2 linked regions of the Rhinolophus ferrumequinum genome follow. Each later gene encodes a partner of the first gene's protein in a complex. Links are inferred from orthologs where the notes say so. Each region holds a gene or a part of one and is shown in the gene's direction. Other genes may lie near its edges.

Region 1 (10,323 bases):
TCTCATAATATAGAAGTCTGTTCACTCTTTACATTAATTAAATGGAACAGAGCTCCTGAGATTGTTCTGCATTCAAGGTAAGGCTGGATTATCTATCCATCCTTGACTGCAACTATGCATTTGCCCTGGGACCTGTGAGATGATGTACACTTTCATTATTTTTGTATAGTGAGAAAGGTGCTAAAGCAAGCAAGCAGTAAAAGAAACTGTTTAATTGTTGGTGTTCTGGAAACCTATAGGTTTCCAGTCGTTAGTTCTTGATTTAAATAATGAAAAAATTCTAATGCCAAGCACTAGCCAACCTAACCTAGAACAAGTTCTAAACAAGCCCCAGGGTCATCCTATGAAGCACTTAGAGAATTACAATTACAATTACAATTATAATTATAGGGGCCGGCCTGGTGGCTCAGGTAGTTGGAGCACCATGCTCCTAACGCCGTGCTCCTAACGCCGAGGTTGCCAGTTGGATTCCCACATGGGCCAGTGAGCTGCACCCTCTACAGCTAAGATTGTGAACAACAGCTGTCCCTGGAGCTGGGCTGCAGTGAGCAGCCGGAGGTTGGCATAAGCTGCCATGGGCTGCTGAGTGCTGTTGTGTGCTGCCATGAGCTGCCGGTGGCGGTCGGTGGGAGCTGCTGTGAGCTGCTATGAGTGGCCAACCTACAACTGGCGACCGAATGCCTCAGCTGGGGGAAGTGCAAGGCTCATAATACCAGCATGGGCCAGTGAGCTGTGTCCCACACTAGACTGAGAAACAACAGCTTGAACTGGAGTAGGGGGTGAGGCGGAAGAAAAGGGAAAAAAAAATTACAATTATTTGACTTTCACCATGAACTAGGTACTATACATACATCATCACAAAACTCTTACTAGGTTTTGTTTTGTTTTCATTTTACATGTGAAAAGAAGCACAGATAATAACTTGCCTAAATTCTTGAAGGGTAGTGAAGGGTGGAGACAGGATTCAAATTCAGAAAAGCTTCAAAGTCCATGCTTTTTCCATTATATTAAACTATGCCACGTTCCTTACAAATCATATTTCAAACATTTATTAGGTACTTGTTGATTGCAAAAGAATAGACTGCCTGTCATCAAATGATGCAAAATATTTTAGGAGCCTGTTTTGACAGTCAAAAGGTGGAGGCCCTGTATAACAGGCTGAAAAGCATGCAGCTAGGCTGCCTAGTAGGCATTTTAAAGTTTTCTGATCAACAGTGACTCATGGGACAGATATCCTGTACTTTTTGTAAATCAAAATGAAGTCAGTGAGGTGTTGAAGAGGCAGATGAGATGGGTAGCAAAGGTTTGGATTCATGAAACCTCTACTTAATGGCCATAGCATTATAAAACCCTGATTCCTGCTAAATTCTTCAGTTTTAAATAGTCAGAAGCGGTTTCTTAAGTTACATTTGGACACATGTGGTTTTAATTCTGGCTGTGCTACATAGTAAATGAATGTCTTTTGGGCAAGTGATTTTACCTCTCTGAGCCTTGTTTTTCCTCATCTGTAAAGTGGGATACTGCAGGGCCCTTCACCAGAATTTCTTTCCCCTCTTGTTCACCTTTGAGATCTTTGGGGCCCTCCTACTTATGCAGAAGCACCCCAGACAGGTCACTGTGTGGAGAAATGGCTACATGTAGGTCTTGCATTTCTTTTTTTCTTTTTTTAAATGTTTGTAAGTTTATTTGAGCCAAAATGATGACATATTCTTGGGAGCAAGATATCACATACTCCCTAGATCTTACATTTCTTTAAGCAGATTAGGAGAGGTGCATCAGCCCTTCCTCTGCAGACTGATCATAGTTGGAGTGGATTAAGTAGCAGTCTAGGAACCTTCTGGAAGGAAAAGGATTGATTCCCTAACTCCTTCCACTAGGGTGGCAATAAAGGGAGAAAGATAGGGAAGGGTGGAGTGAGAGGGGCAGGAAGGAGGAAGGCAATGCTCTTGATGCCAGAGATAGCAACAGAGAATAAGGAGGCTGGAACCAGTCCTGAGTCGGGCCTCAAGAACTGTAATCCTTGAGGCTCAGGCCTTTTGTGGAGTGAAGCCCTCTCTATTGAGTGCGTCACAGGAAGACTCTTAGCCTTGAAGAGCCCCTATAACTGGCAAAGGGCTCTGCTCTGGGACCTAAATTCCTGGTTAATTTACATTGACTGGTATGTCTCAGAGTTTAAAGGGGAGGAAGTTGAAACCTAAAAGGCATAGCTAGACTTTTAGATTTTCTATTTTATCTATTTGTATACCAAAATACAGAGAGCCACTTCAGTTACAAGAAAAAATAAACATTAGATGAGATAAAGTTCATAAAGTCTTTGAGAACTCTGGACGTAACAAGTAACTAGAAATGGTAGAGAATCATTTCCATAGGGAGGGAGGCTCAGAAACTGCACTTCTGATTTTAACAACCGCAGCTCAGTATTTGAAAAGGAGTTGTTGGGATAGTTTGGACTCAGTCAATGGCAGCCACAATACAAAGTCTGACAGTATGATACAATTTTCCTCGTTGGGTTTCGAATTCAAAAGTCAGCCTTCTGAGTTAGTTATGAATGGAAGGGCTTGGAGAATGTGCTATTATTAATCTGTTCTGAAGGTCAGCCTTCAAAAAATATTAACCCAACCTGGATTGATCCTGGTAATGTAAATTTCTGTCTTAAGGAGGATGAAAGGTGTTTTCTCAGGTTCCTTTACAGACATGTTTAGTGAGGGAAGCAACGAGGTACTTAGTCATCCCTGCTAGGACAGGTTCAATACAGGTTGTACTGGAAGTATGCAAAGGGGGTACTTAACCCAGACTTGGGGGCCAGGAGAGATGCTCCTGAGGAAGTAATGTCTAAGTTGAAGTGGAGATACCCTGGCAAAGGAAGCTTGGAAGGAACAGGGTGCATAACGGAAAATCAAGGTACGTCCGTCGGGCTGGAGAATGACGTGTGAGATGGGGCAGTGATGACAAACAGAAAGACACTAGACCTTGAAGGGCCTTCTACAAAGAGTGATCACATAATTTATTGTACAAACTGAGACGCTTTTGAGAGTGAAATGAGACAATGTAACTAATTATATTGGGACAATAGGAGTAAATCAGAACTGTCCTGAGCCAGTTGGGACTTATGGTCACCCTACTTGTAAGTCATGTTCAGGTGCTTGGACCGCCAGTGAAAGCATAGATTGGATATAGCTTCTCTTTTTACCTTATACATTTTGCCTGAGTGACTTCATCCATACCTTTGCCTTTACTTGCTTATTTCACAAATATCCGTCCAGGATGCACTTCTGGGCACTGAGGTTATAAAGAAGAAAAGACACAGTGTCTGTCCTCAAGCTCTGTCTAAAGAAGACACACATCCAAAGAAACAATTCTAATAACAATTATACAGTTTTAGCCCCTGCCTCTCCTCTGAGCTCTGACCTCATTATGTCATTTCCACTCAGGTTGCAAAACACAGATACAAAACAGAACTTCTAATTTCTCTTCCAAATCTATTCTTCCTTCAGCTGGTCTTATTGATGTCACTATCCACTACACTGCTGAAGGCAAAAATTCAGAAAATCACTACCTTAATCAGTGCTATCCTTCTTCTCACTGTGCATTTTAATTTCTCCACATCTTTCTTAAGTACAATGACTAAATTCTTTTTTTTACTTATATTTATTTATTTTTAATTAAAGTTTATTGGGGTGACAATTGTTAGTAAAGTTACATAGGTTTCAAGTGTACAATTCTGTAATACATCATCTATATCTCATATTATGTGTTCACCCAGAGTCAGTTCTCCTTCCATCACCATATATTTGACCCCGTTTACCCTTTTCTAGAACCATCGCCCCTCTCCCCTTACCCCCTGGTAACCCTAAACCATTGTCTATGTCTATGAGGTTTTGTTTCTTCATTTGTTTGTCTTGTTCTTTTGTTGTTTTCAGTTACCACATGTCAGTGAAAACGTATGGTTCTCTAGTTTTTCTGTCTTATTTCATTTAGCATTATAATCTCAAGATCCATCCATGTTGTCGCAAATGGTATTATTTCACCTTTTCTTACGGCTGAACAATGACTAAATTCTAATCAGGGCCTAACATAAATTGAAGAGAAAGGGTAATTTTCAGGTGCTTGAATGTAATGTTTTTAATGAATAGATCCTAGTATCATAAGGGACTGTTTTTTCCACAATAGTACAACATTAATGACTCATACTCCGTTTGTTGACAATCATGACGTTCAGATCTGGATGTATGCCCTCGCCAGTCTCAAAAAATTTCAGTTTAGGTGAGAAAGACATGAAGATAAGTCTTGAGTGTTTGACCCTATCTCCTCTTTATGGAGAATGTGCGAGTAGTTATACAAGTGTTAAGGTGTAGGTGAAACACGGATGTTAATAAACGATCTTTTCAACAATTGCTGTGTAAAGGGATAATTTATGCTTTAAAGGCCAATTTTAATGTTTTTACCACCTATTCTCCACACAGCTTCCAGAATGATCCTTTTAAAACAAATCTGATTATTCCTTAGCTCTCAAACCTTCCACGGCACTCTATATCTCAATAAAACCCAAAGTCCAACCATGGTTTACCAGATGATACATGATCTGACTTCTGCCTCTATTTCCCAACTTGTTTCTGTAATTTGCTGTGCTCCAACCACACTGGTCTCCGTGCTTCTTCTCCAAAATGCCAAGCAAGTCCCTATCTTAGGGCCACTGCGATTGCCATTTCTTGTCTCCTAGAATAGTTTCCCTCTAGAAACCCACATAGCTGCCTCCCTCATTTCATGATTATATTTCTGCTTATGTGCTCTTCCATTAAGAGGCCTTCCTTGTCTATCACATCTAAAAGAGCATCCCACATCACTCTTATCCCTTTATCCTGCCTTTTACCCCATAAATATTGCCACATTACTGGGCATTATCTATTATTTAGCAATATATTACGTGTATTACTTATTGTCAACCTCCCATTATAAGAGGCAGACTTTGTTTTGTTCACTGCTGAATTGCCAGAACGTAGAACAGTGTCTGCTCATTAAATATTTGTTGAATGAATAGATTTTTAGGCTACATTAAATGTAAAACTACTCTGTATTTATTGATATGATGCATAGAAAAATGTCTGTAAGAGTGCACAGCAAAATGTTAACTGTTTATTGAACATGGTGGGAGGGGGCTCCTTTTCACATTTTTGCTAGTGAATTTTCTTTTTTTTTTTTTAACAAAATGAACTTGTTTTACTCATACACTAAAAAATATAAAGAGGCCATATAGACAGAAAGTGTAAATGAATTCTAAAATTCTAAAAGAGGCTGGACAATTTTATGAAAGACAGACTTTTTCCTTTATCTTTTTTGTTTCTCTTTTTTTTTTCCTTTAAGACAGACTTCTAAATAGAGTAACAGCAGAATAATTAAAATACACCACAGTTTGAATCCCCTTCCCCAACACTTTCCAGCAGTGTGATCCCAAGTTATTTATTGATAAGCCAGAGTCTAAATGTCTTCACCTGGAAAATGGGCATAGTGCCTACCTCAAAAGGTTATTTTTGAAGATTTAATGAGACCATGTATGTAACCTCCTTTGTACAATGACTGGCATGCAATAAACACTTGGCATATAGTAGCTATTATAATAATTAGTAGTAGTAGTAAGAGATGTTGGGACATACCTAGCCCTCAAGATTGACATCAGAGTGGACCACCACATCCTCCCATCATTGTGCGCCTCAATCTGGGCCTCTGAAGCCCAAAGAGGGGATGGTTCTTTCCAAAGAAGACAATTTCGACGTTCCAGAAGCATCTGAATAAAACGTAACCTGTTCACCCTTAAACCATTCGGTCTGGTAAATCCACGAACAGCACTCCAAGACCGGCTTCCACAGGCGGCCACAGCTCGCCGTCCTTGGGCCCAGTCCCTTAGCCTCAATTTCCTCTGCTGCAACAGGAGTGAGAGTGTTAAAAACACAAAAGCAGGACAGTACCGGCCCGCCCCACCTCACGGCACTCCGGCGGGGATCGAGCGGCACCACGCCCCGGCAAGCCTCTGGCGACCAGAAACGCACCTCACGGGAGAAGTGATTACTGGTCAGACTGAAAGTCAGGCAAAGGGCTCACCCGCATCCTCTCAGGCCTCTGACAGAGGACAGTGACAGGCGCGCGGCACGAGACAGGGCCACGAAGGCCAGGGAAGGGAAGGGGCGGAGGCGGAGGGCGCGCGGCACGCTGCGGGGCCGCGAGGGGACCGGGCGCGCTCGCGCCGCTCGGGAGCGAGCACGCAAGCCCAGTGGCGCGCACGTGGCTGGCGGCTCCTCGGCGCACAGGAGGGGGACACTGCGAGGTGAGGCACGAGGCGCTGCAGGGCGGGCGGCGGCGGCAGCGGCGGGGTGCGAGCCCCTCTAGCCGGACGAGGGGGAGGCGGGGACCGCGAGGTTCTGTGGGGATCGGGGTCAGGCTGCAACACCCTCGGCTGGGGAGACGCGGCGGGTAGGCGGGCGTGCGGCGCCGGGCCACGTCGCGCTGTGGGGGAGGGCGGCGCGGGGCGGGGCATTACCCCTTGGGTCCCGCCCCGCGGGGAGGGTCGTCTAGCCGTCTGGCCGGCCCTGCGCTGTCTCAGCCTCGGTATTTCCGTTTCTATGGTGGAGCGCGTAACTACGTTAACAGCCGCTGTGTGTCATGTCCTTACAGACGTTTCCCATTGAGTTTTCAGGTAGGCCTTCCAAAGTAGGTATTTCATCTACTTTTTAGAGCTGAGGCTGGCCGAGGCTCAGCTAAAATGACTTGCCCAAGGTCATACAGCTAATACAGAATGAAAGGATTTGAACCTTGTCTGCAAAACCGCACAGCCTGCACCTGTCCTCTGTACCACACTTAATGCTGTTCTTCACGTACCTTCCGTTCTCCCAGTAACAACTTTGAGTTTGACAAATGTTAATTTGGAGCTAGCACCCATCCTTTCTTTGGTGGATGTTAGTGTCAGAAATGTCTCTTGTGAGAAGAAGGGAGAGGAAGAAAGAAGATCCTGCTGATTGCAATATTGTGCTTATGCCATGGAAATGTTTATCAGACTGTTTATACATCCTTTACTTGACCCACTCAACTAACCTCTGTCGAAATGGTGTTGCTGTTCACTGCCTGTAAGGCATTGTACAAGTAACATAATCTTTCAGGGCTTCCTTTCCTTCTTTGAAAAAAAGTAGTACGCCTCAGGTTGTGAGGATTCAAAAAGACAATCCAAATACAGTGGCACCACAATACCTGGCATATGAGAAAAGTTCAGTAACTGTTGGCCACTATTTTATTACCAAGTGCATAATACCCTTTGCTAAACTCATTTTTCTTCAAAGACTAACTTTTTCTGAGACTAGAGCAGAGGGATAACTATTCCCACCCAGCCCACCACCCAAAAAACAGGGTCATGACAGCCATGTTATCTGAGTGTTGATACACTTAATGATGAATTATTCCTCAACCTAAAAATATCCGGTGAAAGAAGTCACTTCAGAAGAACCTTTTAAATTAACCTTTTGAGGAACTAATATTTATCCATTACCAATACATTTGTGTTTACTGAGTTCTTTTTGTGTGTTTGGCATTGTGCTTAGTACTTGAAGGCATACAGATTTGTATTGGACATAGTTCCTGCTTTCATTTACTCTAAAAATGGGGAAAAATAGGTATTCATACGTAATCCTCACAAAGTAGAATGTAAAAAAATGCCATAAAAGAGATAGACAAAAAGCTATGGGAGTATAGAAGGAGGGATGTTTTCTTGGCTTAGTGTGAAATACATACTTGTATTTCTGCCTTAAAGAAGATACTGTGTACATTGTACATACCTATTAAATATTTGTTCAAGGAGTAAATTGGTGAACAAATGCATGTTGTAATGGATAGGATTCCTGGGTTTCTGGTAAAGACACTTATTCATATATTAAAGTGTTATTGGAAAGAGTGAAATGAGAAAAAGAAGAAAACTAAACAGTTTAGCCACTCTTGGGGATTCGGATCTCAACAGCCAGAGCTCATGGACCAAATTCTTTGACTAGTGAATAACTGAACTCCAACTACCTTCCATCCTTGTATGTCTTATTCAAGATTCAGATTTCTCTGAGATCTGGTCATTTAAGCTGTTGTGGGGGTAGAGAACGGAGTATTCCAAGTGGCAACCCCACCAGAACCATATGAAATGTAGAGTCTGTTTCCCTAAGGAAAGGGGGCTAAGGAGAGAAATGAGACCAAGAAGAGAAAATCAGTAGTGTACTAGGGAAATGTCGCCTTTGTAAAGGGCTTACTATTGGCCAGGCACCATGGTACATTATTTGTATGGATATTTAATTTGATATTTAATCCTCACAACAGCTCTGTGAGATAGATACTATTATATCATACCCATTTTACAGAGGGGGAAATAGGCTTATAGAAATAAAATATTTTCTTAGTGTCACAAAGCAAGGATGTGGTAGAGTTGAGTATGTTGCATTATCTTTTCTTTCTCTTACTTACTCGAATTATTTCCTGATCCATGTGCCACTTTGGTTTGTTCATAGGGGGACATCAAGCTTTGGTGTATGTGTTGACCAGTTCTGAAATCTCCTTGAAGGAGCACTGCATTGAGGAAGATCAAAGTCTCTGCCAATTAGGGAATGGACCGTTTGGGTTCCTTTAGCAGTAAGTACTATGTGAACAAGTCTCAGGTGAATATTAATAGCAAACTGTAGTGGAACTTGGTCAAAGAAGAAAAACAAGCATTTTGAAGTTAAAGTCCTGTGAATCTGATCTTAAAGAAATAAGAGTCTCAAATCAAAATAAAATCAACCAATACTTAATATAAGTGGGTTCAATCAATGAGATTGCCCACTGAACACATGACAAACATATCACCTAGGTTTTATAAGAAAACTAAGCTCAGCTAGACCCGGCATAGTATGATTAACCTGCGTTTAGACCCACAAAAGCATTTGGATTTCTCTTTAGCACCAATAACATATTTGTGATGCCTTGATAAGAAATAATGTCTGTGGTAGAATAAAGGAAATGCACCTCTCCCCATTTCAGAGTAAACCACAGGATAATAATAATGCAGAGAAATGTGGCATATGTGTGAGATAAATTCAGGCCGCCACAACTATAGAGAAAAATAGTGCTTTTTCGCTGATTCTGAAGATAAGAGATTTGGCAGAAATAGAAATCCATTGGAAGATGTTAGTATTATCCCAATGAGAAGAATCAAAAAGGGTATTTTTGGGTATTGTTTCCTCTTCAGCAATTTTTTTATAGGGGCTCTAATTTACTCTCTCATCACACTCTATATAAACTTAGTACAAAATAAAGTCTTCAAACACATCTGGTTCAAATTTCTCATTTTGCACATGGAAAAAGAACCTAAATTAATTGTCCCTCCTTAAAAATAATTTTTAAACTTTTTACTTGGAAGTAATATTAAACTTACAGGAAAGTTAGAAGAATAAGAATAGTACAAAGGATACCTGTACACCTTTCATTAATCTTTTACTCCATTTACGTGCTTTCTTTCTTTCTCTCAATAAATATATATATTTATTATATATTGACAAATATATGTAGACATACACACACCCCTTTTTTTTTTGGAATCATCTTGGAATGCAACTTTAAGTAAAACGACGTATAAGAGACCAATTTTACCATAGGCTAATTGATATAAACAAGAGTTACAATCCTGTGGCATGTTGCTTGTCACAAAAACATCACCAAACTTCTAAATAAAGACTCAAAACACTTCTAATATTAAACATTGAAATAAACGCAAGCTATATTTAGGAAAGATGAATAAAAACAAGATAGTAATTCTTTTCCAACCCACTTATTCCTGTTCAGTGTTGAGGGTGGCTAGAGCCTATTCCGGCAGCTCACGGCACAAGGTGGGAACCGACCCAGGACAGGATGCCCTCCCACCGCAGAGCACACTCACACACACCCCACACTCACTCACACTGTGATAATTTAGACGCCAGTTGACTTCACATGCACATCTTTGGGATGAGGGAGGAAACTGGAGTCCCGGAGAAAACCCATACAGATATGGGGAGAATGTGGAAACTCCTCACACCGGCTCCAGCCAGAATTGATTTTTTTTTTTTTCTGTCATCAACATTGTAACAAAATGACATTGAAGGAAAAAAATGTTATCTGAGGACCAGCTAAATATCTTGGCCCTTTATTCCTGAGTACTTTAGGGTTTATTTCCTAATAGGTATATTTTATTATATAACCTCAGTAGTGTTATCAACTTCAGTAAATTCAACATTAGACAAAAATGCTTTGATCTAACCTACTGTCTGGGGTAACCGGGGATACACAGAT
Region 2 (10,522 bases), on another chromosome or scaffold:
GTTCTTCCCCATTCTTGTCGGCGAGTGGGCCTCAATTTTAAGTTTTAGACCTTGTAGTAGGAACTCCGCTTGTAGTCATTTCTGTGATTATTTCAGGAGCAGATCTCAGCTAGAGTCTCCAATGGCTAAGCTGGACTTTCCCATTTAGTCAGCATTAGAGATAGTTTACCACTGAGAGGAAGAAAGTGAGGAATTCAATACCAGCCAGCACCTAGTTCCTGAAGGAAAGTTGCTGGAAGGTTTTGACAGAGCACTCGGTCTTGAATCTTCTCCTGTGTTGGGTGACACTGACTTTAGAGTAGTAGATCCACACTCACATTTAACTTTGGGGAACAAACAGTTTCATTGCTGTCTTAGCTGTGGCTGCTATACAAAAATACCCCAGACTGGGTGGATTAAACAACAGAAACTTATTTCTCACAGTTTTGGAGGTTAGAAAGCCTGAGAGCAGAGTGCCAACATGGTCAGGTTCTAGTAAAGGCCCTCTTCGTGGTTTGCACATGGCCACCTTTTTGCCTTGTCCTCATATGGTAGAGAGAGGAGCTCTAGTCTCTTTCTCTTATAAGAACACTATTCCCATAATGGCGACACTAACCTCATAATTTCATTTAAACTTACTTACTGTACGAAAGGGCCTACCTCCTAATACCATGCCAATGGGTTTATGATTTCAACATAACAATGGGAGAGGGGACACAAACATGCTTTCCATAACAGATGCTACTTGTCAACTGTCTTTTTTATTGTGATTAGTTGATACACCAGTCTGTCTTCCTTCCAGGCATTGATCTGCTTGAGGGATGGGATTGGGGATAGGGATACCTTGAATCCACTGCTCCTAGCACATTCAAAGTTTGTTGAAAAAGAAGAGAAAATCAGCAAATCTGGACTTTCCTTTTTGAAAATGTATTCATTAGTAGAAACTCTTCAAGTTATCCCAGAAAACTGCTTTTGTTTAAACACTGCACACACTTAAAAATATAAACTAGATGAAAATTATTTTAATGGGAAAAAAGTTGGTTTCAATGTTTGATGGTATGCAGTCATTCTCTCACAACCCAGTAATTTATAAGACAATAATCATACAAAACATCCTGCTTAGGTTTATAAATATTTAAACAGATAATCCATGTTTTAATTTGACATGGCTAACACAAAAAGGATTTTTTTTTAAGTGAAATAACAAAACATTTCAAGAAGACAAGTTAAAAAATTAGTCATCATAGAATGAAAGACCATCTAACTCTCTGGGGTACATTTTAAGGACACGTAGCTCTGTTGAAGGCCCGCTGACTCGGAGGGAAAAAATATCTGGAGTTTACTACAAGTAAAAAGCAGCATAATATGTTTTTTTTCTTTTTCTTTAAAGAAATATGCAAATATACCGTGAATAAATAGCTTCTAACTCCAAGGTATGTTATAGCAGGAATCCCGTTTTCCAAGTCAATGGTGCATTCCTCCTGCTAATAAAAATGCTGTGGACAAAATGACATTTGAAAAAGGTATTTAATATTTTTTAATTATTTAAATTTTTATTATGTTAAATTTCTTAAGAGCAATATCACATCATGCCATTTATGTTCGCATAGCAGAGCCTGGAATAGCACAGCACTAACAGAGATGAATGTCGAAGAAGCCCTTGGGAGAGGCTAACCAAAACTGAGCCCAAATCAATTATCTTCCAGAGCTGTTTCCACAGCAAGAAGTCTGTTCTCTGTGAATTCCAGGGGGAAAGAATAACTTGATAACACCTCTTCATTAAAAAGCCAAACGTCTTTCTGTGCCTTGGACAGTACCTTCCACTATTCTCGAATCACTCTTTCATCCTATCATTTATGTTCCTAGTGATGTGGGTAAAAGTGACCTCTTAAGGATTTATTACATGGGCAACAAGGTAATCAGTTCTCTTCATATCAGGAGGCAGGGAGGTGTGCTGCCCAGTTAGAATGCTCTTTAGCTATAAGGCTTTTTGATTTTAAGAAAAATCAGACATTGAGCAGCACCCCACAACGTCAAGGTAAAAGCAGGTGACCGCGTCTACATTTAACTAGCAAAACTCCATCTCCTGGTGGCACCTCCTCGGTCAAAAGTACAATGGGGGCTGTGTTTGATGAAGCTGGTATTGAGCAAAGCATCTGAGTCAGCAAGGTACCCCGGTAGGAATCCCGCTACACCAGCACTCCCACCCCAGGACGCCCCCAGTCGCTGCGGGAGGGGAATAAAATGAGGTGGCTCAAGCATCCTTCCCCCCCACACCCCCGCAAGGTGCAGTGGCCACTTTTGGGCCAGGGCTCTTTAGAATTTGAATTGGGAGGATTTTAACCCCGCCGCCCGCAGGGTAGGGAGTGGATCCCTCTAGTCTTAGTGCCTCACTCGGTGCTCGGCTCTCGATTGTTCGGGCCTGGCAGCCGCTGGCGTCACTCGCGAAGACTGAGGCTCTGCGCTCGAGCTGTCGGGCCTGGCTTGCACAGGCAGCGACGCGCGTTAAGCTGTTGCCCTGGGGCCTCGCGCTAGTAGGAGGGGCTGACCGCGGTGGCCCGCGCGGGGATGTCGAGGACCTCGAAGGTAGTGCTGGGTCTCTCGGTGGTGCTGACGGTGGCCACCGTGGCCGGCGTCCATCTGAAGCAGCGGCAGGATCAGCAGGTCGGTGTCACGTGACCATCTCTTCCGGGGGGCGCCCAGCGGCGGCGGCCTTGGCCTCTCCGGTGTCCGCATGGTTCCCGTCTCCTGGTCTTCTGTCCTCTCGGGCGGCGCGGCCGGGCGCCTCCACGCTTTAGCTAGTGCAGTCCCGCGGCCGCCGGCTCGGCCCTGGGTTCTGCAGCCCCAGCGGCCGCGTGCGCCCTCGAGACCCAGGCCAATCCGTCCTGGCCCGCGCCTGGAGCCCGGCCCTCCGCGCTGAAGTTGCCTGGCTTCCGCGAACGCCCGCGGGTGGGGTGGTCAACGGTTCCATTTTCAAGTCACAGACAGCCTGCAGTGATAGAACCTTTCAGCATCTCACTGGGGCCGCTAGAGAGTAGAAGAGGGGAACCGGCTTCCTTGGGGTGCATTCAGCAAGTTACCGGCCTCTCTTCACTCCCCAGACCCTAGACTGGGTCCTACTTTGTTTAAATGCTAGAAAGATTTTATCCCATGATGAAGAAGGCATCCTTGCACCCGCCTTCGTGCCTTTGGCAAAGGTAATTTGGTGAGATGCTTGAATTTTTTTTTTTAAGCAGCAATTTGCTATGGAAACTATATTCTGGGAACGACAGCGATACTAGCCTCCAATTTTTCTTTTTTTGGTACTTTTATTTCTGGAAATATCCGTGGCTTACTGATCAGTGAACTGACCGTCCATTCTGTGTCTTTCAATTCATATTTTCTTATTCAAGTTGGCAAACGTTTAATGACTGATCACTGTGTGCCAGGCACCATACTAGGCACTTTGGGGAAACAAAGATAAGGAAGCACAGCCGCTTCTGAGACTATAAATGATTCAAAACAGTGCAGAATGTTGAGTGTGAGAACGGGAACTAGGTCATTGGTGAACTCTTAGAGAATACCTTGGCGCAGTTGTTGGTTGAGCCTAGTTTGCCAAGGGTGAAAGTAATGAACTGGATGAATCAACCTTAAACTCATTTCTTGCATTGGACTCTGCTGTGTCCTCAATATACAGAGATGACTGGTCTTTGACCTTGGTATTCACAGTCCACAGAAATCAGAGGAGAGGAAGCCTGTGAGGATACAGGAACGTTCGGGAGGAAGGCACAGGACGGCTAATAATGATAGGGCATGGAAGAGATTTGGGATGAAAGTATGGGTTCTAACTGGTTAGCTTTTGGAATAGAGGCAGGAGTCTTCCTCTTCTAAGAAGGAAGAGATGGTGATCCTAAGAAAATTTGAGATGGAGTAGAGGATGGTATGTCAGATGTAGCTCCGAGGTCCGTGAACAGGGATTTTCAGAGTGTCTGGTATGGCTGGGTTAGAGTTTGGTTCTGAACCCTAGCTACACATCTGATATTCCTGGGAAGTTTTTACAACGCAACTGAGGCTGGGCCCTACTCCAGACCTTTTAGATCAGAATCTTTGGGGGATGGGAATCCATCTTAGGCGTTTCAAAAGCAATCCAGGGAATTCCAACATGCAGCCAGGGTTGAGAACCGCAGTTAGAGAATGAAAGAACAGGAAGATTTGGATAGCTGGAAGTTAGAGATGAAGAACAGATTGATTAGAATAACCTGTGTTTGTCTTATATGCAGTCATTTATTTTGGGCTTAATTTCTGGCAGTGGGAAAGAGTTGGTTACATGATTGACATAGTGGATGTGTCAGAAGGTTCAAGGAAGCAAGAAATAATAACTATTGTTATTGTTTCTTGACTGTTTACCGCATACCAGGCACTATACTAAGCTCTTCAAGAACATCATCTTTAATCCTCATAGGAACTCAGCAAAACAAATAGTACTTACATGAGGAGTCAGAGTTAGAATTGGAATAATGAAGAGGTCTTAGTGGTTAGTAAGGTTAGTAATGGAAGTCACAAGAAGGATGTAGGAGGCAATCAGCGTAGACATTGAAACTTGGAGAAAGAAGCAAATAATGCATGGAGAACAAGCTAAAGTCTCTGAAAAGGCAGGGTAGAATCTCAGAGGCAGGTGTGGAATGATTCCAGTGGCCAATGTGGGGTTTGATGGGTGGGGTGGATATGTAGTTATGTCATGGTGTCAGGAGCACAGGACAGGAAGAACTGGGGAGGGAGCAGTGGAATGAGCACCTCCATTTCTGTCTGGAGATCTTGCCAACGATGTAGGTATCAAGAAAGTTGGCTGTCAGTTGAGTTATCGGTCCCAGGACTTAAATTTCTCTACTCCCCTGTAATAGAGAATGAAGCTCTAGGCCTGGAGGAGGTCTAGCAAGTAGGTACTTGGTTACTTTTAGATAGACATAATAATTTTAAAAAACACATCCAGGCCCTGGGCCCAAGCCCCATTAATTCTACCACACAAGGCTACTGTTAAAAGCTTATTAGAGCATTTTGTGACCTGTACACTATAAAATGTTAGTTGTTAGTAATGACTGGATTGATGCTTTAAAGTCTCATTTTAGGTGTCAGGTCCATGTTTTGGAGTTTTCTACCTGTCTTTAGTGCTTATCAAAGTAACTACCATTAATGGGCCTTTAGTTTTTCCTGTGGTAGTAGCGTTCTTTTTTTTTCCTTTCTCTCCCTTTATGTGATTGATTAGTAATTCTGTATAATTTTTACTTTTTATATATGAGAAGAAGCTGGGTTCTTTACTTTCTTTTCTTTTTTTTTTTTTTTAGATTTTATTGGGGAAGGGGAATGGGCCTTTATTATTGGGGAACAGTGTGTACTTCCAGGACTTTTTTCCAAGTCAAGTTGTTGTCCTCTCAATCTTAGTTGTGGAGGGTGCCGTTCAGCTTCAAGTTGTTGTCCTTTCAGTCTTAGTTGTGGAAGGCGCAGCTCAGCTCCAGGTCCAGTTGCCGTTGCTAGTTGCAGGGGGCGCAGCCCACCATCCCTTGCAGGACTGGAGGAATCCAACCAGCAACCTTGTGGTTGAGAGGACGCACTCCAACCAGCTGAGCCATCTGGGAGCTCAGCAGCAGCTCAGCTCAAGGTGCTGTGTTCAATCTTAGTTGCAGGGGGCGCTGCCCACCATCCCTTGCGGGACTAGAGGAATTGAACTGGCAACCTTGTGGCTGAGAGCCCACTGGCCCATGTGGGAATCGAACCTGCAGCCTTCGGAGTTAGGAGCATGGAGCTCTAACTGCCTGAGCCACCGGGCCACCCTGGGTTCTTTACTTTCTTGCATGCACCTTACAGCTTGTTCAAATTTTAGTAATCTTTTTTTTTTCTTTGATGTTTTTTCAGCTAGGATAATTGCTAACAGGAAAGTAGCTCACAGACTTACTGTAGTAACTCCTTAAACTTTTAAAGAATCATACCAAACTCCTTGTAAAATTCAACATAGTGGTAGTTTTTTCTATTTTTAGTTGTTATTTCCAATCAAGTTTTCTATACTAAATGTTTATGAATTTCTTTAAATATGGTAAGTAGTCATTTAAATGATGACACTACCAAATTAATTTGATGGTTTATTACATTTTCCATTTGTACAGAAAGTTAAAATAGTAATTGGGTATTTAGAATCTGAAAGTTTTAAGTGTATTTTGGTAACACTGTTATTTGGATTTGAATGGCACACGGATGGGAACCACCTGTTCAGGGTGTTACTGAAATCTGTTTCTTACCCTTTTAGAGGCTTCGTGACGGAGTGATCAGAGACATTGAGAGGCAAAATCGGAAAAAAGAAAACATTCGTCTTTTGGGAGAACAGATTATTTTGACTGAACAACTTGAAGCAGAAAGAGAGAAAACGTTATTGGCAAAGGATCTCAAAAAACATTGACTTAAAGTGAAATGTGGAATATTGATGGGACAGATAATGTTGAGTGTATATGCGTGTGAATATGTTGATGGAGAATAGCTTAGTGAGATCTTCAACCTGTTTTTGTCACTGTCATTTTAAACTCGATCAAGTAAAAGGACAATGGGCCATGTATTCTAAATTATTACTTTAAAAGTTCTTTATATCTGAATAGAGAAATGGGCTGACACTTCTGAAGAGTCTCTTTCTGTTTGTGTAATCCTGATAGAAGCTGCTTTAAGCTTGGTGTCCAGAGTTTAGGATTGTTACGAAAAGCACTTCTGACCCTGTGAGAAGGAGGGGATGGATAGTAACATCCACTTGGGTAGTTTGATAAGTCGCCACGATGATGAAGCCACAAGAACATCTACCTCAGAAGGACTGGAGGAGGGTGAAGTGGAGGGGGAAACTCTGCTGCTTGTTGAATCCGAGGACCAGGCATCAGTGGACCTGTCTCATGATCAGAGTGGGGATTCCCTTAACAGTGATGAGGGAGATGTGTCCTGGATGGAGGAGCAGCTGTCCTACTTCTGTGACAAGTGCCAAAAGTGGATCCCTGCTAGTAAGGAGCTTCTCAATTCCTTTCATTTGTCAAGTCCTATGTGGTTTTTTTCCTAACTGAAAGACACATGAATGTAAACTAGACCTAAATAAAAAGATAATTAGTATATTTATTTTTAGTTTAGTTGATTAACTACAAATTTATATAAAACAGACACATTTGTACCAATAAAAATTACTATCAACCTCTATCACATTGTTAAATTTGAACATTCTTGATGGCAACCCAATAAAAATTAGATAATTGGAAGTCCTGTGTTACTTAAAGAATTATCCAGAGTTTCGTAACAAGATGATGTTAAGAATTTGGGGCCAAATTTCTAGGCCCAGTGTAGAATTAAAGTTCGTGTTCATAAAAATTACTCCTAATATTTAACTACATGGAAAACTGCTATTGTATGCTGAAGCAAGGTCAGAATTAGCAGATTAGAAGTGTTTCGTGCTCGTCTAGAACCATTTTTGTTTTCTACTTGTTGGTCTCTTTGATCTGCTGGCAAGAGATATATACACACATGGTTCCCTGATACTTCAGTCTTTCAACTCAGTCTTTTCAATTGCTAGGTTCCTGGTTCTAAAGGAAGGGTATGCTTTGTCAGTCATCATGAGTCTTACCAAAACAGGATTTTTCCATTAGGCAGATAACCAGTAGAGACGTATATATTAGAGACTTTGTGTGATAGAATTTCTAACTAGGTCAGAGAAATATTTACATGTATATAATTGTGAAGTGGGTCATTTTCTGGCATGTGGAAATGTTTCTGTTAAGATTCAACTAGTCATATTAATAGTTACTACTAATAGATAACTTTTGCACAGAAAACAAACCTAGAATTTATTACATATTAGGTAGTTTTTGCTTTTGAGTTGTTTCTTTCTGCTTATTAATTCAGGGTCCTGCCTGAAAAGCTCAGTGGCTTTCCCTTTGTCCTTACAGGCTATATTTTAAACTGACCTTTATGATTGGAAACCTGCTAACTTTAGCCTCTGTTAAATAGAACTTTGCAGTTAGGGTGAGCTCTCAATTCACAGACAAGCCTTTTTATCCCTAGGACTTAGCACATGTTAATTTCCTCTCTGGAATATGCATCTCTATAGCCTCCATGTCGTTCCCACCCCCACTGCACCCCAACCCATATACACAAGTGCCTCTCTCTCCCCCTGGCCAATTCTAGGCATCCTGTAGAACCCACTTTTTCTAGCTCTCCTATCTTCCTAATATGGGTTGGGCTCCCCTTTTATGTGCCTTAACATTGCCCTTGCCACAGATCATGTTTCATTGCAATGGTTTTATGCCTTCCAGAACATCAGCGTCACCTGGGGAACTTTAAAAAATGCAGAAACCCAGGCCCCACAGCTTGATTCATTTCATGTGGGGTAGGCTGAGGCATATTAAAAACAGAAAACAACTCCCTGGGTGATTCCGGTGCGCAGTGAGGATGGAGGGCCACTGTGCCGTTGTGATTACATCTGTCCTCGTCTCCCTTACGGCATTTGTAAACTACCCAGAGCAGGCAGTATGGCTGTTCTGGGTGTGGTATGCCCAGTTTCTAGCCCAGTGCCTGACAGTGGGAGCTCAGATGTGTTTTGAAAGGATGTGTGAAGAGACCTATAGGAGTCAAGAATGTTAACAGCTGGAAAATCCAGTGGGAGCAATAATACATGCTTTTCCCAGTATCTTTTCTCCTGAAAGTAAGGAACCACTGATCTTGGTGGGCATGCACTAGATGTTGGAAGAATAAACATCTTTCTTCTCTGCTCCCTTCCCTGCCCACTTCCTGCTATGGGCTGGCTAAAAACAGGAAAAACAGCATGGGAAACTTGGAGAATTTGTAAACCTTTGGGTTACCAGTGCTCTAGATAAACTTATAATATGCCTTTTTTTTTTCCTCCTAGGTCAGCTGAGGGAACAGCTCAGTTACCTTAAGGGTGATAATTTTTTTAGGTTTACTTGTTCCGATTGCTCAGAAGATGGTAAGGAGCAGTGTGAAAGGCTGAAGCTAACATGGCAACAAGTGAGTAAAAAGCTCTTCTGTAGAATTCATAAGGTTGGTCACCCAAGGAATTTATTGGAATATCTAGAGAAAAAGGAATTTAAATGATGAGCTTTTGAGTTGTCTTGAGGGTCACTTTTTATTTCCCAATGAAAATTATATACAGAATATGTACTGAAAGTTATTGGTACTCGCTGCTAACTTAGTGAATTGGGTTTGAGATTCTTGAAAACTTCACACACACAATTTCATTTACATATAATAATGCCAAACTCAGATTTTAATTGAGAATGAGATTTACATTTTTCTGGCAGCTATTTTTGGAATAATAAAATTTTTTAAAATGTGAAGATGGCCACATTAGAAATAGATTTGGAAGACATAATGTGGCTGATTGCAGAACCAACATCATCTAGCTTTTCTTCATTTGAACTCACATATTTGAATATTTTTTGTTTGATGAATACTTATGTCTGCTTTTAATCATCTTCAATACTAACACCTTTATCCAACCATATAGCCTGAAGAGTAGCTTTTTACACTCTTTGGTTGTATTTTATTGATTTTGTTTTTATATTGTCTATAGTAGGCACAATGTATATAGTCTTTAAGTTCTAAAAAGGAATGAGTTATACATACACAATTTTATGTTTATTCATTCAGCAAATATTGAGTGTCTATGATGAACCCATACATTGTTTTAGGCTCAGAGACTACTGTGATGAACGAGACAGCTAAGACCCCGGCCCCAACCAGCTTACATTCTGGACATTTATTTTAGATAATAAGCAGACAAATAAATAATTACCCATAGCGCTTTTTTGCTGTGAAGGCAATAAGCAGGGTAATAAGAAAGAGATTGTAGATTATACCATGCAAGCCAGTGAAAGTGTTCCCTGTAAGTTGTGGTTGCTTTAGCAGCCTTAGATTTATTTTAATTATCAGTCCTTTATTAGGACGTCTAATGAAATCTGTCGGTGGTAAATGGAGGGAGCCTTTTTGACTTGTCTGAAAAAATAAAAGTAGAAAATGAAGGGAAGTTTGTATTGAGGATATAGTGTTATGAATATTGTAATTGCGGTATTTTTCTCAAGATGTACATGGGGGCTTCATGTAGACAAGGTCCAATTAGTATTAATAGATTATTCTGATGTGTGCACTCTTAGGCAGATTTGCGTTTGGCCTACAAGTAAGTAGCTTCTCAAAAGTTATAGAACAGAAGAGGAACAAATATATATAATTAGTTATTTTCAAGAATATGAGTTTTCTGTGGAGGTTCTTTTTAAAAGAAAAACTGGATTTTGATTGTATTGCTCAGAATATATAATATTTGTTCAAGTTGCACATTTAATTAGACTAACATCACTTGAAAATTATTTTTGTTTTTTTAAAGTATCTTTTAAAAATTTTTTTTTTTTTTTAATTGGGGAATACTGGGGAACAGTGTGTTTTTCCAGGATGCATTAGCTCCAAGTCAAGTCGTTGTCCTTCAGTCTAGTTGTGGAGGGTGCAGCTCAGCTCCAAGTCCAGTTGCCATTTTCAATCT

What was found.
Region 2: TADA2A (region 1) and KAT14 share a complex: the UniProt entries of both Homo sapiens proteins name them as parts of the ADA2A-containing complex. The link is inferred for Rhinolophus ferrumequinum from reciprocal best matches to the Homo sapiens genes TADA2A and KAT14.

The regions. Positions count from the first base shown.
Region 1 is NC_046304.1:23,901,548-23,911,870, reverse strand, and holds the start of TADA2A (transcriptional adapter 2-alpha), read left to right. Parts: upstream 1-6,252; 5' UTR 6,253-6,319; intron 6,320-6,560; exon of another isoform or gene 6,561-6,688; intron 6,689-8,528; 5' UTR 8,529-8,624; coding exon 8,625-8,649; intron 8,650-10,323. Other genes in the region: ACACA (acetyl-CoA carboxylase 1), read right to left, coding at 5,652-5,917, 6,097-6,102. UniProt on the Homo sapiens protein: Component of the ATAC complex, a complex with histone acetyltransferase activity on histones H3 and H4. Required for the function of some acidic activation domains, which activate transcription from a distant site. Binds double-stranded DNA.
Region 2 is NC_046306.1:38,431,428-38,441,949, forward strand, and holds the start of KAT14 (cysteine-rich protein 2-binding protein), read left to right. Parts: upstream 1-6,406; 5' UTR 6,407-6,727; coding exon 6,728-6,986; intron 6,987-8,878; coding exon 8,879-8,997; intron 8,998-10,522. Other genes in the region: protein PET117 homolog, mitochondrial, read left to right, coding at 2,548-2,643, 6,257-6,406. UniProt on the Homo sapiens protein: Component of the ATAC complex, a complex with histone acetyltransferase activity on histones H3 and H4. May function as a scaffold for the ATAC complex to promote ATAC complex stability. Has also weak histone acetyltransferase activity toward histone H4.